Linked DNA regions of Rattus norvegicus. The protein of the gene in region 1 interacts with the protein of each later gene in a pairwise test. Links are inferred from orthologs where the notes say so. Each region holds a gene or a part of one and is shown in the gene's direction. Other genes may lie near its edges.

Evidence for each region.
Region 2: the proteins of Mtus2 (region 1) and Bmp7 interact in a two-hybrid assay, tested with the Homo sapiens proteins (3 studies listed by BioGRID and IntAct). The two-hybrid records come from large-scale screens. The link is inferred for Rattus norvegicus from reciprocal best matches to the Homo sapiens genes MTUS2 and BMP7.
Region 3: the proteins of Mtus2 (region 1) and Fam107a interact in binary tests that used the Homo sapiens proteins (3 or more experiments, as listed by UniProt). The link is inferred for Rattus norvegicus from reciprocal best matches to the Homo sapiens genes MTUS2 and FAM107A.
Region 4: the proteins of Mtus2 (region 1) and Tsga10ip interact in binary tests that used the Homo sapiens proteins (3 or more experiments, as listed by UniProt). The two-hybrid records come from large-scale screens. The link is inferred for Rattus norvegicus from reciprocal best matches to the Homo sapiens genes MTUS2 and TSGA10IP.
Region 5: the proteins of Mtus2 (region 1) and Rbm41 interact in binary tests that used the Homo sapiens proteins (3 or more experiments, as listed by UniProt). The link is inferred for Rattus norvegicus from reciprocal best matches to the Homo sapiens genes MTUS2 and RBM41.

What each region holds. Positions count from the first base shown.
Region 1 is NC_086030.1:11,743,791-11,749,227, reverse strand, and holds part of Mtus2 (microtubule-associated tumor suppressor candidate 2), read left to right. Parts: intron 1-2,025; coding exon 2,026-2,123; intron 2,124-3,743; coding exon 3,744-3,957; 3' UTR 3,958-5,437. UniProt on the Homo sapiens protein: Binds microtubules. Together with MAPRE1 may target the microtubule depolymerase KIF2C to the plus-end of microtubules. May regulate the dynamics of microtubules at their growing distal tip.
Region 2 is NC_086021.1:182,105,707-182,111,998, reverse strand, and holds part of Bmp7 (bone morphogenetic protein 7 precursor), read left to right. Parts: intron 1-2,907; coding exon 2,908-3,100; intron 3,101-6,292. UniProt on the Homo sapiens protein: Growth factor of the TGF-beta superfamily that plays important role in various biological processes, including embryogenesis, hematopoiesis, neurogenesis and skeletal morphogenesis.
Region 3 is NC_086033.1:19,055,729-19,060,802, forward strand, and holds the end of Fam107a (actin-associated protein FAM107A), read left to right. Parts: intron 1-41; coding exon of another isoform or gene 42-46; coding exon 47-216; intron 217-1,589; coding exon 1,590-1,746; intron 1,747-2,448; coding exon 2,449-2,556; 3' UTR 2,557-4,916; downstream 4,917-5,074. UniProt on the Homo sapiens protein: Stress-inducible actin-binding protein that plays a role in synaptic and cognitive functions by modulating actin filamentous (F-actin) dynamics. Mediates polymerization of globular actin to F-actin. Also binds to, stabilizes and bundles F-actin.
Region 4 is NC_086019.1:212,132,043-212,138,334, reverse strand, and holds part of Tsga10ip (testis-specific protein 10-interacting protein), read left to right. Parts: exon of another isoform or gene 1-1,980; coding exon of another isoform or gene 1,981-2,106; coding exon 2,107-2,277; exon of another isoform or gene 2,278-6,292.
Region 5 is NC_086039.1:108,395,030-108,401,321, reverse strand, and holds the end of Rbm41 (RNA-binding protein 41), read left to right. Parts: intron 1-599; coding exon 600-747; intron 748-2,556; coding exon 2,557-2,723; 3' UTR 2,724-4,153; downstream 4,154-6,292. UniProt on the Homo sapiens protein: May bind RNA.

The sequences.
Region 1 (5,437 bases):
TGACTTTTTAAATGTTTGCTACAATGAAAGAGGAAGAGAGAATGTATACAAGATAGGAAATTATAAAATATGATAAATGAAAATACGAAAATTAAAATATCATATGCCTCCTACTGTTAACACTTCACAGAGATGTGTCTTAATACCCCTCTCTCCTACACACACACACACACACACACACACACACACACACACACACCAAATTTTGTACAGTGTTCTATAGCCCTCTTCCAACAAACAGGTTTCCCCCACCCCCACCCCTACCCCCAGTTAGGGTCTTGCTATGTAGCCCATGCTGGTCTGAAACTTGTGATCCCCCTGCCTCCACCACCAGCGTGCTGAGATTATAGACGTGTATCACACCTATGAGTTAGTTACTAGACATCTCAGCCCTGTTTATCTCTGAAACATCCTTTGCGAACGGCTTACCCAAACCAGGAGCTGACCCGGCAGCGCCTGCTGCATTTGGTCCATGTTGCTCTCCATTGCTGGCGTCTCTTGTTGCACAGGCTCATTCCAGGCAGTGGGAAGTCAGGTGTGTCTGTTGCCACTGTCCTGGACACTGGGAGCCACATAGCTAGCTCATCCCAGCAACCCAGCACTTACCCCGGACCACAGGGGCTGCACAGACCTGATCTTGCCATATTCTCCTGGCTAGGGTGACCCTTGAAGCAGCCATCCAACTTCCTGTCTGCTTAGGGCTACCCACAAGCCCCTGGGCTGGGCTGGCTATGTTACACCATGTTCTGGCTTTGCAAAAGGCCTACATGACTACCTGTCCTGGAATCTATTATTTCCTACTTCCTGGGACCAAAGATGAAGGCCAGGTAGGGTGCCTTGCTACCCTATCTGTCCTCGACAAGGATTCCTAAGCCCTACTCATGGGCAAGTTGCAGTGTTCTTTAAAGATTAGCTACAGGAACAGTCAATGTACCGCCCTCTTTCACGGGACAATCCAGGCATGTGGTTCATCCCAGTCATTGCAGCGGGCAGCTGGGAAGCTAACGCAGGAAGACTGACATGTATTCCAGGGCACCCTGAGTCACACAGCAAGTTCCTGCCAGCATGAGCTACAGAGTAAAGCCTCTAAAAAATATCCTAAAGTCAGAAGGAACGCACTCATCAGCTGGATCCCACAGTGATGGAGGGATGGCCTAAACTGGAGAAACGTTCACTGTGAAAGGCTTTCCCAATAGGGCACCAAGGCTTCCTCTCTCTGCTTTACAGAATTGACTTTCGCCTCTGTATCTTCAAAAACAAAGAAGTTCCCCTAGACCTGTAGACTTCTAGGCGTCTTAGCTTTGTTGTTCTGTCAGGAAAGGAACGAAATATACCTGCTATCCTTGGCTCTCTAGCCCTGATCATTCAGAAGCACCTGAGCAGGGCCAAGTACATGTGCAAGGAACAGGGATTCCCTGAAGTTGACCACAGACCCACTGATCAAACTGGGATCCACAGCCTGATTCTGACCATGAAAGTGACCTGTAATACTCACTGTAAAAGAAACATATGTTCTCTGCCTCTGCCTCTCTGTCTCTGTCTCTCTCTGTCTCTGTCTCTCTGTTTCTGTCTCTCTCTGTCTCCATCTCTCTGTCTCTGTCTCTCTATCTCTCTCTGTCTCTCTCTGTCTCTGTATCTCTCTGTCTCTGTCTCTCTGTTTCTGTCTCTCTCTGTCTCTGTCTCTCTCTCTGTCTCTCTCTATCTGTCTGTCTGTCTGTCTGTCTCTCTCTCTCTCTCTCTCTCACACACACAGAGAGAGAGAGAGAGAGAGAGAGAGAGAGAGAGAGAGAGTCTAAACTATGTACCACAGTGCTTTTTACTACCAACAGAGCACACTCTGGCATTTTCTGTTCTGTCTTTCTGAAAAGAGCAGTGCTGGTCCCTCATCCATCTCCCCTGATTTTCCCGCCCACAAAAGCTTTGCACAGAGCGGTTAGCAAAGTCCTGTTCCTGGAAACCCTCCAAAGTGCAGAAGCCAAGGCCACTGATCCAGTGGGAGTTTCTTCACTGGTGTCTCTTTCCTAGGTGGAAAAGAACATCATCCTGGAAGAAAAGATCCAGGTACTCCAGCAGCAGAACGAAGACCTCAAAGCGAGGATCGACCAGAACACGGTTGTTACCAGGTGGGTGAGCCCAGTTTCTCACTACGTCCTTCTCAAAGTGGCTTTCCCGGAACATCCGCATGTCCCAGTATCCAGTCTGAACAATCTCCTGGTGCCTCTCAGTTGATCAGAAGAAAAGCAGATGGCCGTGACCCCATGGTACACATCCCAGCTCTGCATCCCAGCCGGCCCCGTTCCCCAGAAGTGAGTGAGGACCTCAAGCCCAGGAAGCAGGGGCCCCAGAGCAGGAAGATTTCATCCCAGAGATTAGGAGAAGAGCATCAGCTAAAGTCCCCAGCTAAAGAGAACCATGGCTAGGTAACCCCAATATTCCAGAAAATCGGGTCAGCTCTTCCCTATAGGCTCCTGCTTTCAAGGAAGGATTGGGTCACTCTTGACCCCAGCTCAGAGTGCAGTGAAAACGTCTGTGGCGTCTGTGGCTGGCTGCAGGTTATTATACTGGGCAAGGCTAAGTCGCCCGAGTGAGATGGAGGCCTTCGCCTTTTCCCATTCTGTTGGACCAGACTCCTCGGTGTGGCTATGATATGTTATCCTGTGTACACCCATGCTTATGTGCACACACTCATGTATATATCCATTCACGCGTGCTCACACTTACACATACACTGATGCACGTGCATGCTTATACACTGGCATGCCACTTGTTCACACGCCCACACATACCCAGCCACCTTTCCTCAGACAGCAAGTGCAGGCGTCAGCCCAGAGTACCTTTCTGGGACTTTAGCCCATCCAGTTGTAAAATGTATTTGTACTTACTCTGGCCGATTCCTGAAAGCAGCGATCACTCTCTAAAACACAAGTTGAAATAGACAGGTGACTCCGTGGTTAAGAGCACTGGCTGCTCTTCCAGAAGACCCAAGTTTGATTCCCCGCACCTACCTGACAGCACACAGCTATCTGTTAGAGTTAACAGTTCCAGGAGACCCGCGCCCTCTTCTGGCCTCCACAGGCATTGCATGCAATGGTTCTCGGGCATGCACGCAGCCAAAACACACACATAAAGTACAAAAATTACCAAAAACACGCAGCAAAGCCAGCAATTTAAGCACCATGACATCACACACACACACACACACACACACACACACACACACACACACACACACGATTGCTTTCTCTCCCCCACCCCCGACCCCCGTTATCAACCGACGGTGATCAAACATCTATTTTTCTGGATGCCATGCTGAACGCCAGCCAAGAACATAACAGAGTCTTGACCCCTGCCCTCTAGGACTTGTGGTCCAGCAGACAGACATGTAGACAGACCGACTCTACAGCCGAGCTAATGACTTCAATCGCAGAGGCACGTACTCAGGGCTGGAGGTAACGGGAAAATATTCCCGGCTGATTGGCGCTGTTAGTCAGTACCCTGACCACAGCCGTAGACAATCTCCATAGCAACCCCTCCTATGGGCTGTAGCAGCAGCCCACGTGACCTACCATCTCCCCCACTTCCTACTCCAGCCTCTAGCCTTTCTTTGCTCTGTGCACAACTGCCCCCTAACCCAGCAGAGAGACCTGCGAGCCTGGGGAATTGCCCCCGGCCTCCGCCTATCAGCCTCTGTCACTAGTACGCCCAATGGTTCCCGCTGCTAACTACCATTCTCCCCCACGCAGACAACTGTCGGAGGAAAATGCTAATCTCCAGGAATACGTGGAGAAAGAGACCCAGGAAAAGAAGAGACTGAGCCGAACCAACGAGGAACTACTTTGGAAGCTCCAGACTGGGGACCCGACCAGCCCGATTAAACTCTCCCCCACATCTCCGGTGTACAGGGGCTCCTCCTCTGGACCCTCCTCTCCAGCCAGAGTCAGTACCACACCTAGATGACATCACCCTGCCACCCACAGGAGCTCAAGCTTCTGTCCGTCCGAGGGAGTGCTGGCCGGTGCTGGTGGCTGCCCTGTGCGCATGCTCAGTAGCTGCATACTGCATCTTAGGCAGAGTCCTCTCTGACCCTCGTGTGAGACCGTCCTGGTATTGGCGCTTAGGAAGGCGTAAGCAGCAGAGTCTGGTGTCCAAAAGCAAAACACAAAAACAAAAACAAAATGCTTTAGTATAGTTAGAAGCAAAAGAGAAACAGCTCCAATTGTTCCTGAGAGACGGAGTTCCGCAGCGGAACTTTAGGTCAGCCACAAACAGCTCCGTTTTTCGAATACTCGAAAACCCTCCTTGCACCGCTGCGGGTGTGTATTCAGATGCGTGGGTACACACCTGCGGCGACTCCGAATTGCTTTTTTTTATATATATATACATATATAACACACGATGCGCTGACATATTTTAGCGACGGTCAGCAGTTTTCTAACTTGTGCCTAAGAATTATTGGGAAATGAAAAACGCATTTCTATCTAGTTTCCTGGAGATATTTCTACCCAAAATAGAAAAAAGAAAAAAAAAAAAGAAAAAAGAAAAAGCAAGCAAGCAAGCATGAGACCAAGTGGTACCCTGCTTACCCTAAACACCAGCGATTTGTAGATGGTAACCGCCTTTGGAGCAACTAGCTTCTTAGTCCAACGCGAGGTGGGGTCACTCTCAGCCCATTGCAGGATTTAATTATGACTTCTCCCATCCCAAGGAGGTAAAATGTCGCAGGGTGTGGGGGAGGGGGGGACCGGAGGGATCACATGGTCTGGCCAATGTTTTTCCCCTTATCAATTCATTATAATCTTGAAAACACCAGTTTTGCTCCCCACCCCCAACCCCAAATGGCACCTTGCAAATCCACCATTAAGATATTATTGCATCCTCAGGAAAACACGGACGCATGCGACCTTTGCGATGAGGGTAAGCATGAACTCGGAGACTATCTAGACCATGCATGACCCATCCTCATGGAGGAGGAGTTCTGGTAGGGGCCGACATGGCCCCAACCATCGCCTCTCATAGGCAACACCCCCATTTTTCAGTTTGGTTCTATGACTCGACCCCATCACTGCACATCAAGATGGCTCAGGGGTTCTAGTCAAGGCTTCCGGAAACCAGCCTTTCTCTCTTGGGGAAAGGGGGGGGGGAAGCCAGTTCTAAAGGTGCTAGATCATGTCCCTTCTGCTGGAGGGTTACCAGGACTGCACCTGGCTGTGGTCCCGTCTTAGCCCCAGAAGGCTCTCCCAAACAAGGGAACGCAGTGAAACGGCCAGTCAGCATCCATCAGCCGCTGGACTGGCCTTCGTCTCTAATGAGGTAGAGTTAGAACATGAAAGGTATTCATGTAGTGCTATGGAAGATTAGAAGCATGACCCACAAAAGAGAAGTAGTTTTAACTGGCAGTACCGTGCCGCGCTGAATGATACCTTTGTTTCCTGTATGT
Region 2 (6,292 bases), on another chromosome or scaffold:
GTGTGCACTGGAAGTCCCTTCCTGGGGTGGTGAGGGCACAGAGGTGCTCTCGGGATGTGTGTCTCTGTCCTGATCCTTGGGTTCTGTGTGGCTTCATGTTTCCCTGTTCCCTGCGTAGTTCTGACCTCCTGTAGCTCATGTTCCCTGCGCTGCCTTCATAAACCTCCCTGGCACTTTGGGAGAAAGAGAATTATTATCTTAGGGTTTCTATTGCTGTGATAAAACACCATGACCAAAATAACTGGGGAAGGACAGGGCTTATTCGGTTTACACTTCCACATCGCTGTTCATCATCAAAGGAAGTCAGGGCAGGAACTCAAACAGGGCGGGAACCTGGAGGCAGGAGCTGATGTAGAGGCCATGGAGGATGCTGCTTACTGGCTTTCTCCCCATGGCTTGCTCAACCTGCCTCCTTATAGAACCCAGGACCACCAGCCCAGGGATGGCCCCACCCACAATGGGCTGACCCCGCCCACAATGGGCTGACCCCGCCCACAATGGGCTGACCCCGCCCACAACGGGCTGGGCCCTCCCACATTAGTCACTAGTTTATTGGCCTGTAGACTTGCCTACGGCGCGATCTTATCGGAGCATCTCCTATTCATTCATTCGTTTGTTTCTGGAAGCATTTTCTGGAGACCCCCCTCCTCTCAAATGACTTCAGCTTCGGTCAAGTTGACATAAAACTATGCAGCACAGGTCTGCACACACTGCTACCACCAAAATGTATGTTCGGTGTCAGAGCAGAGGCAGAAGCAGGTGGGTCTCTGAGTTCAAGGCCAGCCAGGGCTACACAGAAAAACCCTGTCTGGAAAGACCAAAAAAAGAAAAAGAAAAAAAAAAGAATCCTGGTTTCCTGGAGGATCATGGGGAGTTGACATGTCATCGAACTGTGCCTTTTATGCAGCCATGAATATTCATGTAAGAGGGCAGCATTGTAAACATGTTAAGGAGGTCAGACACTGAGGAACCTACACACTGTATGGTCACTCCTGTCAGAGTGATGGAAACAGCAACAACCAGCTCCCAGCTGGAGAGTCTGGGCTGGGCAGGCTGGTGTGCTCTGCTAATGATCAGAGGGGCTTCCATCAGGAGTATTTGCATGACAGTCTGCTGAGTTACATGCATGGTTCATGAACACAACACACACATGTACACATAGGTGGAGTCTGTTAAACAAGCAGAGATCTCTGTCCCATGTACTGTTGAAGACGTACGTGGTGGTGAAGGTCTCCGGTTTGGCAGGTCCTGGATTGAATCCAGCTTCATCACTCCAGGCAGTCTGTTAGAGACCTTAGGGTCTCAGGTGTATGCTTGCCCATTGCTGTGTCAGGCCCCCCTCCTAAGGTGACTTGGGCATGCGGACTGGTTAGTTTTAACTGCCAACTGACACTGCCTAGAGTCAGCTGGGGAGTACAAGACTGGTCTAGATCGGGTGGGCCTGTGAGCTTGTCTGTGGAGTACTGTCTTGATCGCTAATCGTTGTAGAACGAGCCCTCTATGGGCGGTGGCATTCCTTAGGCAGGGAGGCCCTGCCCACACAAGAGTGAAGAAAGCTACGAAGCTAGCAGGCAACGTGGGTACATTCATTTTCTCTGCTTGCCTGTGACCAAGCTCTGGCCTCTGACTTTCCTGCTATGAGAGACTGGAACCGGGAACTGTAAGCCAAATGGCCCCTCCCCTCTCCTGGGTGTTAGGGTGTTTTCTCAGCAACGGAAATGAAGCTAGGCAGGGTGGGAGGAAGCAGCAGATGACAAGGACTATCCTAAGCTTGCCTCCTTATCCTGGGGTCACCTCCCTAGGCTCTCAACATGCAGGAGACTGCCTCGCTCAGCAGCTGCTGCAGAATTTCTCCTTCCCTGTCCTGTCAGTAAACCAGAGGGTCTGGTGGCATCTCTGACCCCTCTCTCTCTTGTGTGCTGGGCTTTCCCATGTGCTGGTGTAGAAGGGATGTGCTCCTTGTTGGGCAAAGAGTGGGCAGGAGGAGGGCGGACACCAGGAGACACAAGAGGGGTTTCTGGAGAGTTCTCTCTGACCAGCTCTTGATCCCCTTTGGTTCCCTGTGAGGTATGAGGTGCCTGCTGTGGGAACTCCTTCCCAGCCCGTGTCAATGCCTCTGGGTCAGCACTGAACTCTCTCTCGATGGTATTATGAGACCCGGGAGTATCACCAGCCCACCATGACATACACCTTTAATTATTTTTTTTTAAAGATTTATTTTTACTTACACAAGCACACTGTAGCTGTCTTTAGACACATGCCAGAAGAGGGCATCAGATCCCACTACAGATGGTTGCGAGCCACCATGTGGTTGCTGGGAATTGGATTCAGGACCTCTGGGAAGATCAATCAGTGCTCTTAACTGCTGAGCCATCTCTCCAGCCCCCAACACCTTTACTTTTTAAAAGCATCTTCAGTCATTCTTCTGTGCAGCCAGGGCTGAAGACTACCACTGTTCCACACTGTCCCAGGACAGGTCTAGCAAGGTCTGTGTTCACCAGCAACAGTTACCTAATCGTAGTCGCTTATGTGAATTTGGTCTCTTGCCCGTCACAGTCCCATTTTCCATGTGGTGGAGCTGAGTTTCAAATGGGATGTCTTGAATCTTTCTACTGTCACAGCTACTCTAGTGGCCCAGGCTGGGTTTGAACCCAGTCCTGAGCTGCTAGGACTCCAGTCTCGTGTGCTGTGTTTCGTCTCCCCCAGCAGGCTGGATCCAGAGCCACACCCTTTTATGTTCAAGGTGGCTTTGGGGTCTGAGCCTGCGACTGTAAAATCAACGGTGTGCCTACATGGGATGGGAGGTGGTCACAAAGGCAGCGTCCACCCAGCTCAAGCCAGTCGCATGGACAGAAAGGAACAAGACGCTAAACCGTTTTGGTGCTGGTGTGTTTCCTTCCCCTCCAGTGGAGCACGACAAGGAATTCTTCCACCCTCGATACCACCATCGAGAGTTCCGGTTTGATCTTTCCAAGATCCCCGAGGGAGAGGCGGTGACCGCAGCCGAGTTCAGGATCTATAAGGACTACATCCGGGAGCGGTTTGACAACGAGACCTTCCAGATCACAGTCTATCAGGTGCTCCAGGAGCACTCAGGCAGGTAAGTTCTGCGTCTGCGTGGCAGTGGGATGCTCAGCTTCCTGCAGCTGCGAGGAAGGAGTGGGTGACGGGCTGCGGCTGGGCTGAGGCTACCAGATGACTGTCTCAGAGGTGTGTGGTGAGTCAGTGTCCCTTCAAACCATGACCCCATGCAAAATCGAGCACGGATATTGGGAGTCGGGGAACCCTGGGAACCTTGGGGCTGTGCCTCCCTGGACAGGACTACAGGAACGCTCTATGTATGGTGCTGTGTTCAGAGAGAGAGAGAGAGGTGGGGGGAGGGAGAGCTGGTGTTGATGGTCCTACCATTCACTGATCTGTAGCCCTGGAGGATATCAGACAGCCAATGAAAATAGCCATTTATAATCAAATGCTAAGGGCAGAAAAAGAACAGAAGAGGAGGAGAAGGAGCAGGAGGAGGAGGAAGAAGAGGAGGAGGAGGAACAGGAGGAAGAGGAGGAGGAGGAGGAAGAGGAGGATCAAACCAAAAGCAAACAGCTGGAGAACTCTTGGCTATCTAAGAATCGCTAGGTGCTAGGTCAGGAACCAAAGTTTGTTGTTTCTGGAGATCCTCTCACTTCACAGCCTCGAGAAAGGCAAGGAACTGAAGATGATGGTGGCCATCCCCTCAGATACATTCCAAAGTTCTGAGCTGGAGCAGCCAAGGTCTCCTTTCTTTGTGGCTGGGTTTTTGTACTCTGAGGCGGTAGGACTTGTCCCCACAGATGCTGTGGCATGGAAGTTAGAGGGGGAATCTTCAGCTAGGACGGGAACGGGGACAAGGGAAGCCTGGTTCTGGCATGGCTGTTTGGCAGCTCATCTGGGTGGTGAAGGAAATGGAATTTCTGTGGTGTTTCTGGTGTCTTGCACCCAGGCGACACCTCATATACACACCAGCAAGCACTTTGAGGTAACAAATCTGGGAAACGGACAGGATCTAAGTGTCCTAAAGTCACCACAGAAGGCCAATGAGGGGGTGGGGAGGGAGAGGGAGAGGAAGGGAGAGGAAGGGAAGGAGGGAGGGAGGGAAGAGGAGAGGAGAGGAGAGGAGAGGAGAGGAGAGGAGAGGAGAGGAGAGGAGAGGAGAGGAGAGAGAACACAAGAGGACTTGACCCAAACTGGAAACCAAGCTTATGGAAAGACTTTCTGATGATGATTTAATTTTTTTTTTTTTTGTTCTTTTTTTCGGAGCTGGGGACCGAACCCAGGGCCTTGCGCTTCCTAGGCAAGCGCTCTACCACTGAGCTAAATCCCCAACCCCCGATGATTTAATTTTGAGCTGAGTCTGGTGGTACCCAGCCACCTAGGGGCTGAGACAGGAGGATTATGATCTTTTAGTGACTTCCTGTCCTCAGTCCTCCGGGTTTCTCTTTCTCTGGAGGAGAGACCACCACCCACTCTCTCCTGCTTCTAAGTGGTGGCAATTTCCCAGGCAATAACCCAGCCTGATTATTTCATGTTCACACAGTCCCATGGGATGGGCTGTGTTGTGTGGTGTAGTGTCGTTGTGTATATCACCTATTTGTTGCCCACAAGTGTGTGGTGACCTCCATTCTGCTGCTGTGGTCGGGGCTGTGGGGGAGGGTGGCCTCACTCCTGAGCGTGTCTGCCTGATGTTCTAGAACTGTGACTAGGTCACACACCTGTGTGCACGTGCACACCCACGTACGTACCCACACATGGCCTTCACAGAGGTCACCGGGCTTTCTCCACCAACCAGGGAGGACTTGTCCCCACACACTCCGCAAGGCCTCCTACTGAACCTTTTTGATCACTCTGATGGCTGACAGAAGGCATCCTGGTGTGGCTATAATTTATGCTTACAGCCCCTCAGTGCCCTGCACCAAGCTCAACCCTGCATGGCTTTCTTGCTAGAGAGACCTACAGTGAACTAGAGGGCAGGCAGGGCACAAGAAGGAGCTGGGTGGCTGGGGGCAGGAAGGCAGCCATGTGGGTCAACTCTGAATCTTCCCAGGAACTCACTCAGATGCCCGGTGTATCTTAGCTTGTTCCTCAGGCCCAGCCTCACGAAGAGGACATGGGCTTTTTTCTGGAGGTCCGGTACCTGCTGTGCACTGGGGACCATTTTTGCCCTGGGGACTCTTGTTTGTCCGCTAGCCTGGAGTTGAATCTGGCCCTCCTGTAAGCTGAGCAATAAGTGCTCCACCCCAAGACCATCAAGACTCTTAGCCAGATGAGGGTTTTACCTTTCTCCATGGCTGATGGCTTAAGGGAAGGAGCATACCCAGAGGTCGTTTACCAACAAGTGGGGCATCCACTTATGCCTGGGGCTCTTGGTTGGCCTCCAAACCTGCCTCTCAGAATGCCTCACTAGCACATAGCCTCATCCAAGCCAGTCCCGGCCGGCCTACCTCAGATGGTTGACTGTCACGGACACACTCTTCTCCCCATCTCCCTGTGGGGACAAGTGGTTGAGGATCATTGGGTCTGGGGGTCGCCTCTGACACCGAGGTTTCTCTTACCTGTGCAGAGCTCGCTTCCCAATACCACAGCCTTGCACGCTGTTCTTCCTGTGCAGCAGATGTCTGTCCCGTGTCGTGCACACCCGCCCTACCCTGTGGTGGAAGGTGCTGGAGGCACGGCTTTCTGTGTGTGCACACGCCAGTTGCTGTTCTCAGAGGTCAGGCAGAAGGAATAAATGGGGGAAGGACTTTGAGAGCATGAACGCCGCCGTGTAAAGTTTTGGTTTGCCCAAGTTTCCCAGGCAAACTGGTTGCCTGAGTTTGCCAGGATGCGGCCATGATTAAGTCTCACAAATGGCAGCCCAGAGCAATAGGACTGGATTCCCTGGAGTCTGTAACTTCAGAATTAGTCAATGGTGCCTGTCCCCTCTGAAACCTCTGTCTGTCTGTGTCTGTGTGTGTGTGTGCGTGTACACTTGTGTGTGTGCACTTGTGTGTGCTTGTGTGCATGCTGTGTGTATGCCTGTGTGTATGTGCAGGTGTGTGCACGTGTGAGTGCATGCATGTGTGCTTCTGTGTGTGCATGTGCATGTGTGTATGTGCATGCGTGTGTGTGTGCAGGCTTGCATGTGCATGCTTGCACTTGTGCACCTGTGTCTGAAGGTTCTTGACCTGACGTGGCTTTCAGCTTTGGTTGCTTTTAGGCTCAGTCTCTGAGCATGACCCCAACTGTTTCCACCTGGGCATTCCCCATGTCTCCTGTGGCATGA
Region 3 (5,074 bases), on another chromosome or scaffold:
TGTGGACATATTTGAAGTAACATTACCTCCCATCGCTACAGCCTCCATGTACTCAGAGATCCAGAGGGAGCGGGCTGACATCGAGGGACTCATGGCCAGGCCAGAGTACAGAGAGTGGAATTCAGAGCTCATCAAACCCAAGAAGCTGCTAAACCCTGTGAAGGCCTCTCGAAGCCATCAGGAGCTGCACCGTGAGCTGCTTATGAACCACAAAAGGTAGGATGGCACCCAGATGGCTGGCCCAGCAATACCCTGCCTGCACAGGCCTTCTGGTCTTAGGAAGATTCTTCTTGGGGGGGAGGGGTGGCCCAAACCCATTGCCTGGAGCCCCAACAGGGTCCCCAGAAGAAACTGTGTGAACCTGGAAGCTCTGTCTACTTTCTGTGTGCTTAGATGCCGCATAAATTTACTAAATACTTATTGTGTGCAGGGTATCACGCCCAGCCCTTAGATACAAATAAAACGGAGACCCAGTTTCTGCACTCCCCAGGGGGAATGAAAGTTGCTGGATGCTTTAAATGAATGTGGGACCCCAGAGGGGCTTCTAGGATAGGGGGACTATCTATATGACTTCATGGAAGAGATGATATCTAGAAAGACCAAAGCAGGGGCAAGAGTCAACCCCGGGGGTAGATGGGTTATATTGGCAGAGAAAACTGGTGATGGCCCTTTCTTAGCCATCTATTGGGGAAGACCATGGCTGTAAAACAGAAGGGCCAAGGGGGAAACTGGGTTATGGCTCGTCTGTGATCAGTAATCACGGGATAGCCAGCGTAAGATCCTCCGTTGTGAGGATCCTGATCTCCTGGCTTGCCTGAAGCTGGTGGACCGTCGTGGCGCCCTCTGCCGTCTGGTTGTTATATTGGAGCTGGTGTGATTTCCGTTCTAAGTCATGCCACAGATACCCGTTGCACATGAGGCTCTTGGTGGGTTTGTTTCCAATTAATACTGTAACATTTTCACGTTCTCAGTTGTTTCGGCAATAGTCATTCATTTTAGTATCAAAAATACCACCACGATGAAAAACAGCTTCAAGCAAACTGAAATATTTGCAATATAAATAAATTATATCGAAGAGATACAGTATGAAATATTCATGTATTCCTGTACTATAGTCTACAAGGAAAGGATAAACAAAACGAGTGGGATTAATATGCAAATAGGAAAATGTGAACATTAGAAACACTTTAAAGGCTGTTACGTGTGACTGATAATCAAGGAAAACTGAGAAACAGGCATTGCTTTTTGTCTCCTGGACTTAAAAAAGTTGGCATGTAAAATGGGAATAAATTGATATCTTTGTAAGGAAATTAATTCCCATGAAATTTTAAGAGAACGAAGACTAGCATTTCCGTCATCAGAAGCTCTAATAAAATATCCAGCAACCACCTAGTTTCTGCAGCCTGTTATGAAATTCTCACTCACCTGTTGGTTGTACCTGCGCTTGCCCTGCTGTGCCTTTCTCTATAGCATGGGGCAGTGAGAGCGTCCCCTTCCGGCCTGGGATTGGTATCACAGGAAAAGTCAGGGCCAGGCTAGGAAAAAATTCTGACTGTTCCCCCCACCCCCACCCCCACCCCCACCCCCAGGGGCCTGGGTATGGACCGCAAACCAGAATTGCAGCGGGTCCTGGAGCACCGTCGCAGGAATCAGCTGATCAAAAAGAAGGAGGAGGAGCTGGAGGCCAAGCGGATGCAGTGCCCCTTCGAGCAGGAGCTGCTGAGAAGGCAGCAGAGACTGAACCAGGTGGGTAGGAGGCACACAGCTCCAGTCTGAGCCTCCTCCAAGAGAAAGGCCAGCATGGGATCAAGAATCTACCTCTGCCCACTGTGTGACTCTATTCCAGTGGCAACACTTCTCAGACCCTCTGCCTCCTATAAGATCTACATCCTGGACGTTAGTTCTGCTGATCACCCCTGCTCTGAGAGCAGGTGGCATTTCTATTCTATAGGTGGGAGGCTCTTACTGTCCCCATGTGGGTAAACTGAGAGTCCTGGGTTCTTGTGTCCTGGGAGGGCTGGCTGGGGACTTGGAGAGTGGCAGAGATGAGGTCCACTAAGGGAGAGGAGAGCACTCTCCAGAATGATACCGGTTACAGAGCAGGAACAGGCTCAGCCTCAAAACCCCAGGCTGGCCCTTGAGAGTTCTTTTGCACATCACCCTACCCCCACATTCAGAGATGGTGGGATTTCCTCATGCGTACTGTTTTGATAATGTTTCCTGACGTGAGGGTAGATCTGTTTGTTTGTTTGTTTCTTTAGGTTTATCTTTTTGACTCTCTTTCAAGTGTCTACTCTCCTGATACACATCCCAACTTTGGAATGGTTTGTAAAACCCACCCCAGGCTTTCTCCATTGACAGGACCCTGGGTCCAACTATAGCATGGGGTTTAGGAACCCCATCCCCAACCAACTTTGCAAATTCACTCCTTGTGTTTCTCTGCTCCAGCTGGAAAACCCACCACAGAGAGAAGAGGACCATGCCCCTGAGTTCATCAAAGTCCGGGAAAACCTGCGCAGAATCACCACCCTGACCAGCGAAGAGAGAGCACTGTAGAGTTTCCTCCACTCAGCAGCTCCTGCCACTTGCTCTGGCCCAGCCCTCCTGAACCTGAGGACCCTAGCCCACAATGATGCTAGCAAGGCACACCTGAAAGCTATCCCTGGGAAACTGAAAACCCCCCGCACCCCACAGGAAAAGTCTCTGGACTTTTCTGAGCACCTAGCATTCCTGCACCAAGAGGAAGCCACTACCAGGAAAGACCTCCAGAGGTGCCATTCCTGATCTGACTCACTGAGACTTCCCCGCAGAAGAGGAAGAGAGCCAGGTGTCCCTCGATTTTGCTTCAGTTGCCCAATAAGGCCTACTTCTTGGAACAACTCAGCTCCTAGCATTGGAAACAGCTCAACTCCGGCTTAACCTAAGGCCACCTGTTTGAGAAATCACAGAATGAGCAAAGAAAGCACCAGATGTTTGTAGCAAGGAAGGGTGGGAAGGGGCCCAAGCCACGCCCTTTTAGGCCTTGCCCGATTGCCTCATAGTTTGGCTTTTATTTCTCCTCCCCACTGCCCTCCCTAAACCATACTTCACCTCAGAGCTCCGGTTTCTAGCCTAGAACAGCATGTTGCCAAGTTACTGTAAATACAAATCAGAGAGTCCTGTGATCAGTCCCTGGAAGCTACATGTATAACATACTCCATGGTCCAGGACATGGGTTTGAACACATAGCTAGGCTGAAGCAGCCAAGAGTGGTTTATTAGAAATATCCAACTTTCTTGGCTCCCTGACCAGGAGTTTCCCAGAGCCTCCTCTAAAGCCACCCAAACTCTTTACTCACTATCCATAGTATTCCCAACACACACACACACACACACACACACACACACACACACACACACACAGAGAGAGAGAGAGAGAGAGAGAGAGAGAGAGAGAGAGAGAGAGAGAGAGAGAAACCCTAGCCTGGTCAGGGGATTGTAACTGCCAATTTTTATTTCTTACTAGTGTAACCACACTATCATACAATTCTAGCCAAAAATAACCTTAGCTTTCTACAGTGTTTTGGAAAGCAACTATACAATGATTTCCTCTGCAAAGATATATATATATATATATTAGTTCGAAGACCCCACTGCCATGGTGATGGAGTAGACTCTTAGGTCAATATTGCCAGCACTGTCACCTCAGACCCTGCCCCTCCCCCTAGTCTGGGTCTTCCCCACCCATTCTTCTTCCTCAAAGTCCCCTTCCTCCACAACACCCAAATACTTGAATCTTTTGTTCCTATGCCATTTTTTAAAAGATCTACAGAGTAAGCCAGGCCTGAATCCTTTCCCCTGAAGAATGAAATCCATGACTCAGCTTTTAAGCCCTTTGCTGGTGGGAACAACATGGCCAGACAAGCACAAGTTCTCATGCCACAGACCCTCGGATTTCCCTGCTGGGGCGCCAGTGGATCTGCCTCCAAGAAATGATGGTGGGATGGACACAGGGTCTGACAGTGAATGGAGATGTGTAAATAGACTCTCTGTGTTTTTCTCACTCTGAAGGTCTAAATGAGTGGTTCTCAACCTTTCTAATGCTGTGGACCCTTTAATGCAGTTTCTCATGTTGCGGTGAACCCCCTCCCAACAGTAAATTATTTTCATTGCTTTTTCATAACTGTATTCTTACTACTATTAAAATCATAATGTAAATATCTGATATGCAGGATATCTAATGTGTGACCCCCCCCTCCCATGAAAGGGTCATGCCCCACAGGTTGAGAAACGATGGTTTAAATGCAGTGAAGCTGTCTTAAGTATCTGCTGGTGAGGTATTATGCTGAAGATGTGTATTTCCTAAATAGAGGGTTGGGGGTTCTCCCCTTACAGGTCCATTGCTGTTCTGACATGTAAAGAGGAACAGGCGGGGCCTCTGGGATAGAGTAGGACCGCCCAAAGGACTTGGCAGTCCCAGGAGATATGGCAAGGTATGAAAGAGACACCCCCAAAGTACAAGAGGCCTCAAGGCAGGTCTTCCAGGGGAACCATAGTAGCGGCCTTGATACTCTGTGAATCTGTTAGTCCCAATTCCGTCTCTCTCACTGCCTTTGTGACTATAAATCTAGATTCTCATTCTCCTAGCCAACTCTGTAGGTTTGGCTGAGCATGTGACCAGGCATGGCCAATGAAATTGAAGTGGAAGTCTACAGGAGCTACTAGAAGAACTCATGCCTTTCCTGAAACCCTCACTTGGCCTCTCCCTTCTTGATTGAGGATGTCATGCCTGGACCATTAGCAACCATGTTTTACCTGAGGGAAGGCCAAAAGATCCACAAACCCTGTGATCTGATCGTCTGACCAAGCAAGTGCCAACAGCTTTCCCGTCTCCAAACTCCATGTAAATAAAAATAAATCCCTGTTTGGTAAAGCCATTGTAAGTCTGTTTCTTACAGTTCCCAACTGACGCGAAAGGCCAGCCTTGCCTACCTGGTCAGAAATCCCTGTAAGTGAGGCTAAAGAGCTGAACCCCTGTTTTCCAACAAAACCTGTTGGGGTAAGTTCCTTACTTCAGGGCCTGCACTGTCTTCCTG
Region 4 (6,292 bases), on another chromosome or scaffold:
TATGTACTAACTGGCACTGAACTTTCTGTAATCCTCCTGCCTCAGCCTCCCAGGTCTCAGGATTACAGGTTTGTATCACCATGCCTGATCTGTTGACCATTTTCTTTTTTAAATGTATTTTGTGTGAGTATGGGCATCGTTATGTATAATGGCAGGAGTTGGTTTTCTTCCACCACTTTGAGGAAAGGTGTCTCATTTCTGCCAGAATTCTGTGTACTATAGGCTCCCTGGCCTGTGAGTCAAACCTGTCTTTGCCACACTTCTCACATAGGAGCGCTGGGATTATAGATGTGCAAATCCACACCTGGCTTTTTCTTGGGCCCTAAGGCTTGAACTCAGGCGGGTGTGGCCAGGCTTTTAACTGCCTCCCACCTCCCAGTCGCCATTTTCAATTTGTATTTTCTTACTGGTGTTGAGGTCAGCTGTTACCTGTTTTTAGTGTTTTGTTTGCAGATGTTCTTTGTTTCCTTTGCTATGTAGAGACTTAATTTCCTACATATATACCAAAAATACTAAAAAAAAAAATCATGGGGTTGGGGATTTAGCTCAGTGGTAGAGCGCTTGCTAGGCCCTGGGTTCGGTCCCCAGCTCCGAAAAAAAGAAAAAAGAAATCACTGTCCAGTCCAACATCGTGGAGTTCCCCTTTCATTTCGATCACTTTTCTGTTGTTCTTTTGAGATAAGGTTTCTCTGTGCAGTCCTGGCTGTCTAGGAATTCACTCTGTACACCAGGCTGGTCTTGAATTCAGAGAGATCTGCCTGCCTTTGCCTTGTGAGGGCTGGAACTAAGCATGTGTCACCACGTGAGCTCTGTGAGAACTTTTAGTTTCAGGTTTTCAGTTTAAATGCTTTGCCCACTTGAGTTGGTGTTGGCATGTTGTATGGAACAATAGTCTACTGTAATTCTTTTAACAGAGATAGCCAGTTTTCCCACACACTTATGAGGAAACCTTCCTTTCCCTCTGGAAAATCAATGTGCTGTTTGAGCTTTGCATTCTGGCCTGTTAGTCCATCGTCTGCATTTTTACCTCAGTGTCATGTTCTGATTACTGATTGATGGTTTAGGAAATCAGGGCATGTGATATTTCCAGTTCTTCTTTCTGTTAAGAAGATTTAAAGTCCAGTGTGGTGGTGCAGTTTGTAATCCCAGCACCTTGCAGGTCAGGGTAGGAGTCAAGTTTCAGGTCATTCTCAGCTACATGGAGCGTTTGAGGCCAGCCAGGGATACAAAAGAGGTGAAATGAACAAAGTATGTAGCTAGAGATGGGGGTCCCTAAAAAGGAGGTGGGGTAGCCAGGGAATGTCTCTCTGTGAGAAATGACATTTCAACAGGTGACCGATGAACCATGGCATCTGGGGGAGAGTATCCCAGGTTTGTCTAGTTGCTGTTCAGTTACCCACCCTTGCCCACCTCTTCTTTCATAGATGAAGTTCTCTAACCTTTTAATTCTTTCCCACACATTTATCTGTCTGACTGTCTGTCTGAATGTGTCTCATCCTCATCCTGTTAGGCACTAAAGTAGAGTGGTTAGAGGTCTGGCTTTCCTCACAGCCAGCTGCTGGGAAGGGAATGTGAGCAGTGCAAAGGGTCCCAGGCTGTGCACTGAGCTCCTCGGGGCTCCGCAGTCCTAGGCTGCGCTCTAGACATTCAGGAGGCCTGGGCCCAACGTTAAGACCTGGCCATCAGCTGGGAGGCGGTGGCGCATGCCTTTGCTCTCAGCACTCAAGAGGCAGAATAAGGTGAATCTGAGTTTGAGGCCAACCTGGTCTACAGAAGAGTTCCAGTCCAGCTAGGGCTACACAGAGAAGCTCTGTCTCAAAACAAAACAAACAAACAACAACAACAACTAAACCAACCAAACAACAAACAAAAAACCAAACCAAACAAACAAACAAGGAACCTGAGTAGTAAGTAGGGACAGGCCTAAGGCTGGTTGCTGCATAAAACCTGCTTCCATGACAAATGCCATTTATTTCCCAGGACTTGGGCTCTTAGAGACACGTACTTCTTCCCACAGTCCCTCACCTCTGGACCACATGCTCCTCCATGCTACCTTGGCCTTCCTCGAGCTCCTGATCCCCATGGACATCCCCCCTTTCTCACCAGAAACCTGCTGCAGGCCTGGGAACAGCAGCAGCTGAAGGAGAAGCAGCAGGCGGAGATGCGCAGGGCTCGGGAGCAGCAAGTGCAGCAGCAGGTGGCCCGGTGTCTGGCGGCCTACACGCCAGGAGGGAACAGAGGGACCCTGGGTCCTCAGCGCAAACTAGAGGAGCTGAGGTAGGAAGCCAGGCTTTGGAGGGCCTGGCTGGGGGCAGGGCAGGGACACTGTGCTGGGAGTCAAGCTGCAGGACCTCACAGCAGGCAAGCCAGACCACCTAGCTGCATCTTACAAATGAAGACGTGGAGGCCCCTGGAGAAGGGGCTGGGCCAAGATCATTCAGTTATTAATAGTAACCCCTTCAGATAGTGCATCCTGTGTATTCTGCACACAGTCACGATTTTAAATCTTATTTTTTGGTTTCATGGTGTTATGTGCTTATTATAAAGACTGAGACATCTGGACATGGTGGTAAACACCTTTAATCCCAGCACTCTGGAGGCAAAGGCAGGTAGGTAGATTGTTGTGAGTTTGAAGCCATTGAAGGAGACCCTGTTCAAAAACAAATTGTTGAGGTGTTGGAGAGATGGCTCGGTGGCTAAGAACACCTGTTGTTCTTTTTTTTTTTTTTTTGCAGAGCTGGGAACCGAACCCAGGGCCTTGCGCTTCCTAGGCAAGCGCTCTACCACTGAGCTAAATCCCCAACCCCACACCTGTTGTTCTTACAAAGGACCTGGATTCAGTTCCACATGGTGACTCATAACCATTTATAACTCCAGTTCCAAGGAATCCAACACCCTCTTCTAGCCTCTGTGAACACTAGGCACAGATGTGGTACACGTGCACTTACACACATGCAGACTAAACACTCATACATAGAAAGTAAAAATACAGATGTAAAATGTCGAGGATTTCAGAAACAGTTGATGCGCTCTGTAAATAGTCCCAGGGGCTCCACTCCTGGAGACAAGTAGGAAGCATGGTCGGCTGGAATTACGTGTTTCACTGGCTTTCCAGATGTATAATCCCTCTCCCCTTTTTTTGAGCTGGGGTCTCTTTATGTACCCCTTGCTGGCCTGTAACACCAGGTTTTCCCAGAGATCCCTCCAAGGCAGCGCTATGCCCAGCTCTTTCTCTTGAGATATGGACTCCTCTTGATAGTCCAGGCTGTCTTGGAACTCACTGTACAGATCAAGCTGGCTGCAAATGCATGGTCATCTATCTATCCCCAAGTGCTGATTCCAGGTCCGGGCCACCACTCTCAAGACTATTTTTCTTGGAAGCAAATTCATGAGTCAAACAACACTTCCTAATGGGCCATGAGTGAGGTAGTACCAATATCCGCCTAGAACCACAGAGGAAGAACTAAGGCCCAGAAAGCAGAGAGCTTAAACGATCTGCCAACATCTGAAGGAAGCCCTGGAAGCTGTTGGATTACCTGCCACATTGCCTAGATGTTTTAGTGCTTCTTCTTCAGTGAAAGGACACATGACAGTCCTTGCAATGGCTCAACCTTATGACATAGATAGCATGTTTAAGTACAGTCACTTAAGCTATTGACTTGAGGGCAGGCAGGGGTGGCAAACACATCTCAGCACTTGGGAGGCAGAGGAAGGTGGATCTTTGTGAGTTCGATGCCAGCCTGGTTTGTAGAGTGAGTTTTGGGGGCCAGGGCTATGCAGAGAAACCTTACTACAGAAAAAACCAAATCAGACAAAGAGACTTAAGCCTTGACTCGAACACCTATGGGTTCCTATCTATCCATTCCCACCTTCCTCTGGCTCATGATGTGTGGGAAGAGGTTTCATGGGCTGCAGTATGGCATCATGGTCTTGGCAGGACTCAGATCATCCATACAGAATCAATTGTATCTCAACTTTATTTTAAAATTATTAGTTATATTTTGAGGCAGAATCTCCCAATGTAGTTCTTGGTGCCCTAGACTCACTATGTAGACTAAGCTGACCTCAAACTCATAGAGATCCTTCTGTCTCTGCCTCCCGAGTACTAGGATTTAAGAGATGTGCCACCGCCCCTGGCTAGCTCAACTTCATAGGTAATTTTACAGAACAGTGTCTTCTGGGGACACAGTTCTGCTTGCAGGGCACTGTTTTTTTTTTTTTTTTTTTTTTTTTTCCCCCGGAGCTGGGGACCGAACCCAGGGCCTTGCGCTTCCTAGGCAAGCGCTCTACCACTGAGCTAAATCCCCAACCCCCCAAGCTTTTTTTATTTTATTTTTTATTTTTTTATTTATTTATTTTTTTTTCAGGGCACTGTTCTTTAACCTTTTTTTTTTTTTTAAGTGTGTGTATGTAGGTCAGATGAGGACTTGCAAGTCAGTTCTCTCCTCTCACCAAGTGGGTCCTGGGGATGGAACTCAGCTCCTCAGGCAGAACAGCTGGCACCTTAACTCACTTGAGTCATCGGGAAGCACCCTCACCCCACCCACATTTTTTCCTTTAAGTCTCATTCTATAGCTCAGGCTGCTCAGATCTGTGGCCATCTGCCTGCCCCAGCCTCCCAAGCACGGGGATTGCAAACAGTTGCCACCATTAGTCCCTGCTATTATTAGGTCTTTACAAGAGGAAAGTGTAAGGCCCGTTCTCCAGCTGTGGGGTGCATGAGAGGAATGCTAGAATCTGACTTCAGGTGAAGAAGACACAGGCAGACCTTTCCTGGCAGTCTTCCAGTCTGGCTAGGACAGATGCCAGAAACTCTCTTCTCCATGAGAAGGTTTGTTCAACTTTACCAACCAAGACTCGGGTGTTGCCTGGGAGGAGAGGCACAGTAGAGGGGACACTGGGAACACTGTGGCAGGGAAAAATGTCATCCCATCCTACTTTAGAATGACAGGGCTGGTACCATTGGCACCAGGTTTGTTTTTTGTTTTTTTTTTTGGCATGAAGTTCAAGACACAGGCGTCCTAACAGAGATAACAAGATATCCAGTAAGATGTTGGGCACAATGGTGCATATGTAATCCTTGCTACTTGCAGGGCTGAGCAGGAAGACAGCTTGAGGCCTGGAATTTGAGTCTAGCCTGGGCTATACAGCCTGTCTCAAAAACAAGCTTGGCATGCAGGCATGTGCCTATTTTCCTGGTATTTAGGAGGCTGAGGCAGGAGGATTGTGCATTTGGGGCCAGCCTGGACTACAGCACACAATCCAGTCTCCAAAACCTAAATAAATAGGGGCCTGAGAGATGGCCTAGACAGCGATGTGCTTGGTGCATGAGGACCAGAGCTGACTCCTTAGCACCCATTTGTTTTTTAAATTAAAAACATCAACAAAGCGAACCCAGGTGCAACTGTGTTCAACCATAATTCCGGTGCCTGAGAGGCTTGCTGGCCAGCCAGTCTAGTCAAACTGGTGAGCTCCAGGTTCAGTGAAAGACCTCGTCTAAATGAGTAAAATGCCTAGCACAGTGGCACACTCACCTTTAGTCCTACCTCTTGGGAGAGAATTCCAGGCTAGCCTGGTCTACATCGTGAGACCTTATCTCAAAACAAAACAAAACAAAAACTATACAGTAAGAAAAATACTATCTTGCATGGGCTGGAGAGATGGCTCAGCGGTTAAGAGCACTAAATGCTCTTCCAGAGGTCCTGAGTTCAAATCCCAGCAACCACATGGTGGCTCACAACCATCTGTAATGGGATCTGATCCCCTCGTCTGGTGTGTCTGAAGACAGTGACAGTGTACTCACATACATAAAATAAATAAATCTTGGGGGTTGGGGATTTAGCTCAGTGGTAGAGCACTTGCTTAGCAAGCTCAAGGCCCTGGGTTCGGTCCCCAGCTCCGGAAAAAAAAAAAAATCTTAGCTGGGTGTGGTGGCACATGCCTTTAATCCCAGCACTCAGGAGGCAGGACCCTATGAGTTCAAAGCCAGCCCAGTCTACACAGTAAATTTAGGCCAGGTCAGGCCGGGCAGAGCTGTACGGTAACAACTGCACAGCTGTCTTGAAACAAAAGGAAAAAAAATACATCATGCAAAAGGCAGAGTCCTAACACCAGCTCATGACTGCCACTACACTTGTAACCTGGGAAAGTCTCTCAGGACTGGTGAAAACTCTTCTTAGTGGAGCTTGTGATCCTGGCATGGTTTTCCCAGTGCATGTTTGTTTGTTTTCTTCTCCAGGGAGGAAGCTTCCTTCCCTGGTAGCTGGCCAAGCACGTTCCCATGCTATCCCAC
Region 5 (6,292 bases), on another chromosome or scaffold:
TATTTATTTATTTATTTATTTATTTATTTATTTATTTTGTGCGTGTGTGTGTGTGTGTGTGTGTGTGTGTGTGTGTGTGTGTGCATTTATAGACGCTACAGGTCAGTGTCATGTGTCTGCCTATGTCGCTCTCCACCTTCTACTTTTTTGAGATAGGCTCTCACTGAGTTCAGAAATCATCAACTGGCTAGCCTGGCCAGCCAGCAATCTCTAGGAATCCACCTAGCTTTTTAACATGGGTTACCAGCAACTTAAAATCACTTTTACCCACAGAGCCACCTCCCTAGCCCACTCCTGACTTATGAAGACTTTAAAAGAAGATTGCACGTGTTCTTGGATTCCCATCCTGTGGATTTCCTATTGAGCCTTCTTTGGTGTGTTTAGTTCCTACTCAACCATCGATTTTGTACCTTCCAGAATGTTGTTGCTGTTGCTTTCTTTCTTGGTTCTTTCTAACCTTGTTGGTTTTAGAATTTACTGGAGATAATAACATTAGATGACTGTTCAGTCTCCCATCTTTATCTGAAAGTAATTCAAGCCATAATGAAAGGGTTGCTTTCCTCATGTGATTATTTTTGTCACCTCTCAATTTGTATTAGGTGCTATATCTGAAGAACCTTAGTCCTCGGGTGAAAGAAAGAGACCTTATCTCATTATTCGCTCGATTCCAGGAGAAAAAAGGACCACTCATTCAGTTCCAAATGATGACTGGACGCATGAGGGGACAGGCTTTCATCACCTTTCCCAGTGAGTATCTTCATCAAGGTAGCCACTCTATTGTAGCATCAGTACATGAGAAACCACTTCTTACCTCACTGAATTACATTAGAACCTTAGCACATGGAAGGGGGCCAGGAAGGAAAATATATTTCCAGTATTCCTTGATCTTCCTTCCTATACTTGCTTCCTGTTTCCTGTGGATGCTACACAAGCACCTTACCCTAGTGTCCTCAGTTTTGCCATTTTGACATTTCCTTCCTACCCTACCAGTATTCATTTATTTCTGTCGCAGTGCTGCTTCTACTCTGTATTACAGTAGAATTATTCACAGTTAGTGTGTTGGCATTGTGATAAGAAGACATATCTTTTTCTCATATTTCTTTTATTTAGGACTAAGTGATTTTAAGCTAATTAACTCATTGCCAATTCATAATTGTTGGAAGATAATACATTCTTCCAAATATCACTTGCATGTCATTACATGCTCTAATCAAAGTGCAAGAAAAATACAGTAATTTTGATCTTAGTAAGCTAGCCAGTATGTCTTCAGCATGAAGAAGCTACTAGGATCTATACCTCCCATTGCCTCTAAACTGTCATTGTAATACTCTGTAACTTTTATGTGGGCAAGTGACTTTACAGGAGAATTGCTGATCTTATCCCCCTTGCTTTCATATAACCTTATACTGTCTTTTCTATCTCACTGAAGGTTTGTAGATTCTTTGTACCCATGGTTTTCAGTCTTTTGAAGGGAGAATTCCATTAAATTTGAAAACAAATTTCATGTATTCTTACAAAATATATCTAACCTTCTAATTGAAAGATACACAATACAAAGACTTTAACATTTGTATATGTACGTGTTTGTAAAGTGTATGTGTGTATATGCTCATGTGTGTGTTTGTGTGTGTATGCACATGTATGTGGTGGTTAGAAGCTAACCACAGTGTCTTCTTCAGCTGCTCTTCCACCCTAATTTTGTCACTGATCTTAGAGCTCATGGATGTGGCCCAGCTGGCTGGTCAGTGAGCAACAGGAACTCGCTACCTCCCTAGCTCTAGGGTTGCCCATGCCTGCCTCCACGCCTGGAATTTCATATGGGTACCAGGGATCTGCGCTCAAGTTCTCATGCCTTCATAGCAAGCCTTTTACTTCTAGAACCATCTCTCCTGTCCCTGCTTTATACTAATAAATTTGTAGCTATTTTACTAATCCTAATAGCTATAGTACACACTTGAAAATTTGGTATATATCTGAGACGAAATGATCTCAGTCTAATGGCACTTTCTACTTATAATTCCACAGACTCTACTCCAAAATCTAGCCCCTTCTCATTTCTTACATATGATCCCTGATACCCATATGCTGAATATTCCTGTTCTGTACTATATATTCTCAGACACACATTTTTATATACCTGCAAGAAAAGTTCACTATCCCCCACCACTTTCTTTCTAAAAGAAAACAGTAGCTAAGTGTGTTCAATAGTGTGGTACCTTCTTTTATTTGTGTAACAATTTAAAAAATTTTGCTTCCTGTATCTATAATCTATCTAAGGTAAAGTCATGTTTATAGTTAGGTTTAACTTAGACGTTTTAAATATACTCCTTATGTATCCTTATATCTTTGAATCAAATGTACGTTTTGAGGGTCTTTTGTCACTATTATTACACAGTAATTTAATCTTGCTAACGTATATAAATTGGGGATTGTGGACAAGGCAAAACATCAGACATCAGTATGATTTTTATAGCAAACAAATCACAATTAAACCTGTAATATAACTGAGTGATTGAGCTCTATATAATTTGATGCATTTTTCTTATTCTTTTCCAGATAAAGACATAGCATGGCAAGCACTGCACCAAATTAATGGATATAAACTCTATGGGAAAATATTGGTGATAGAGTTTGCGAAGAGCAGAAAGCAGCAGTCAGCTGCTCAGTGCGCTCCGCTTATAGCATCTGCTACAGATGGCAGAGCAGAAATCAATGGTAGCTAGAAACCCATATCAACCCACATGTACATGCACATTGGAATATATGTATGTAGTATGTATGTATGTATGTAAATATACACTCAGATGATTTTGCTTTTATCATAATCTTAGATCAAGAATGTGTGTATTCTTAAAAATTTGTTGAAAATAGAAGAGGAAATATTAGAAAGACAGAAATTAGGACAATGGCCTCAGCATTTGGAAAGAATTGATAAAAATACATTCTATAATTAAATACTGTATAGCATCAAAAAGATTATATAAAATTGACAATATCCTGAGTGAAAAAAAATAATAATGAAACATTCTATATGTCAGATAATACTCTGAGTATTAAGATCATGTGAAAACCTTTAATTCTCAGGAAATATTACATAGGACTGTTCCTCAAGATTCCAAAAATTCTTTAATAGTTTGTAGTCTTCAGTGTTTAGTCCTAGACATAAGACTTTTTCTAGGACTGTTTCCTGTATACAAAGTTTTAAAAGAAACCCAGTGTTAAAATAACTATTTACTAGAACTCAGACTGTATTTTGTCCGAACTTTCAGCAGTTTCAGTAGATAGATTCATAAGTTTTATTTATTTATTTATTTAATGATTGCTTCCACACTGTTTTCAGAGTCCTCAAAACCATATGTATTACTATAACATCTTTTAAATATTGGTAATCTCATGATACGATTGAGTTCCAAACAGTACACATTTAACATGGAGTACCTGCCTAATATATGTTAAATATTAGGTACATGAACTTTCAAGAGGAATGAAGTAGCATATATACTAAAGGGACAAGGAAAGAAAGTGTTTTAGAAGAAAGTCAGCCTGCCTCAAATCCCCTGGTGATTTGTTTAGAGTCATTGAAGAATAGGAACCTAATATGGTTTAGATGGTAGAACCAGCTTTGGAGTTAGACCTGTGACCCTCAAAGTCACCCATGTTTACCACCCTGAGCTTAGAAAGTCACTTAATCTGAGCCTAATTTATCTCATCCATAAATAGTAACATTGCTTCTCACCTCCCTGGTTAAATGAGATTATACTATCCAAGGTAAGGAAAAAGGGGAAAAATGAAGGAACTCTAAGGAACTTCCACTAAGTACATCAAACAACATATAATAAGAATCCCATTCAAAAAGGGAGAAGGAAGCATAAAAATACTGCAAAAGGATGAGTAAAATGGCTCAGTGAGTAAAGGCATTTGCCACCAAACAGGAAGACCTGAGTTCAAACCGTAGGACCTGCCAATAACAGGGCAAAAAGGATAGGAGCTAATGCTGAAGTTTCTCTAAAAATAGTGCGAATCCATAGGAACAAAGAAAACAAAAGGGAAATAGTGCGAATCCATAGGAAGAAAGAAAACAAAAGGGAAATAGTGTGAATCCACAGGAAAAAAGAAGACAAAAGGGAAATAGTGCGAATCCACAGGAAAAAAGAAGACAAAAGGGAAATAGTGTGAATCCACCGGAAAAAAGAAGACAAAAGGGAAATAGTGCGAATCCACAGGAAAAAAGAAGACAAAAGGGAAATAGTGTGAATCCACAGGAACAAGGAAGACAAAAGGGAAATAAGGTGGCTAAATTTTACAAGGCTGTAAACCTAAGTTAGGTTCCTAAAAGTCACAGAATTGTATTGGTAATTATACTGCACTGTTAGCCCTGGAATGTAGAAAGTCTGCATGGCCGTCATACCCTAAAGCATGAGGAAGAGGGAAAAGGAAACACAAACAGTAGACATAAAGATCCATTCTTTGTTTAAAAGGTCAATGTTTTAGGATGTGAGAATTTTAATCACGTAACTACAGAGCCACCACATAACCTGATGCAAGGTAGCGAAGTCAAGAGTGAAAGGAGAAACTGGTGGATGCCTAGTGTTTCCTTCCTAAACAAGGAAGTAGCCAGCTTCAACACTGGGGATAGCCAGCTTCAACACTGGGTGCTAGATAGATTCGAAAGACAGCTATAGAACATTCTACCCTACACTAGAATATATATTTTCACCCTATGTATACGAAACATCCTTAGGCTAGATCATGAGCTGAACCGTAAAACAAGCCTTAATAAATACAAATAGACTAAAATAATCTCAAACTTGTGCTCTTCCACATGGGAGGAGGTTACAAATCAGTGACAATAAATTGGGAAACTCCCAAATAAGTGAAAATTAGTGATATCTAAACACCAAGTCGGTGAGGAAAAAAACAGAGAAGCTGGAGAAATGGCTCAGTGCATAGGTGTGCTTACCTCTCTCGCTGAGCACCTGCGTTTGAGCCCCAGCATCCACACTGGGTGGTTCCCAGCTACCTTTAGTCTATGTGGGGCATGCTTAGAGATAAGCCTATGAAACGAGAAGAAAGATCATGGAACTGATTCAGTTCCTATCCTAAGCCATAGCTAGGATAGAACCTAGAACAAACACAACTGGGAAACCACGCAAAATGCATGAGAAGAATACAACAGAGAAAATGCAGTGAATCCAAGCAAGGAACTGGTAGACCTTTTACTACATATAGCAGGACAAGGTAGACTATAATTATTAGAATGGGAAATAAAGGAGGGAACATTGCTACTGACCTTGGAAAAATAAAAGGTGAATAAGGGAATATTATTATACTCATGTGTCAATAAATTAACTTACTGAAAATAAACAAATTCCTGAAAAGATAAAGTACCAAGAGCCAAGTATAAGAAGCCAAAATAAACCTAATAACAAAGATTAATAATTAACAAGACAGATAAGCCACAACAATACCCATACTTAGGTTGCTTTTGATTTGATTTCTAGAATTCTACTAAATGTTTAATCAAACAGTAATCCAATCTCTTCACAAGCTGTTTATTTAAAAAACAGGAGACATTTCTGAGATATAGTACTGCAACGTGGGAGAAATCTGAGAGCACGTTCGGGCAGAGAAAGCAGTCACTGATAGTGACACATTGTACAAGTCCAGACATATGTTGAGTACAGAGTTGGATTTAAAAGTACATATATACGTAGTGATAAATGGTAGGCAGGGAAAACTAGACTGTATAGGAATTCTTTGCAAGTGGATGAAAATGTTCATAAATTGCATCAGTGGTTATAGAATGATGAATATAGTAAGTGGGTGAATGTCATGGTATGTGAATTAAATCTCAGAGAAATTCAAAACCATAGGAATGTGGACATTAGGCAGATGTCCACATGTTAACATGAGTGACTTCTAACTTACGGCACATCCATTTCGGAGGGTATTATGAAGCCATTCAAACAGTAGACTACATCTAGGAATATATTGTGACCTGTACTCATAGTCAAGATTTTATATTAAGTTATAAACTAAGATACATGTATGTATGTATGTATTATGTATGTATTATGTATAAGATGTATGTTAACTTTTTAAGCAAATAGTTCATGTGTATAGTTTATAGAGATAATTTCAAAACAAGCGTAGGAATGAAATAGGAAATGTATATAACAGGCTGTAAACCTTCCGCAAGTGGCTCGGTGCGAGCTCAAAGCAAACCCCCTCAACCTTGTAACCATTTTCAGGTGGCAGGTTTCGAGTGCTTTTTACCTTTTTCACTAGTTTT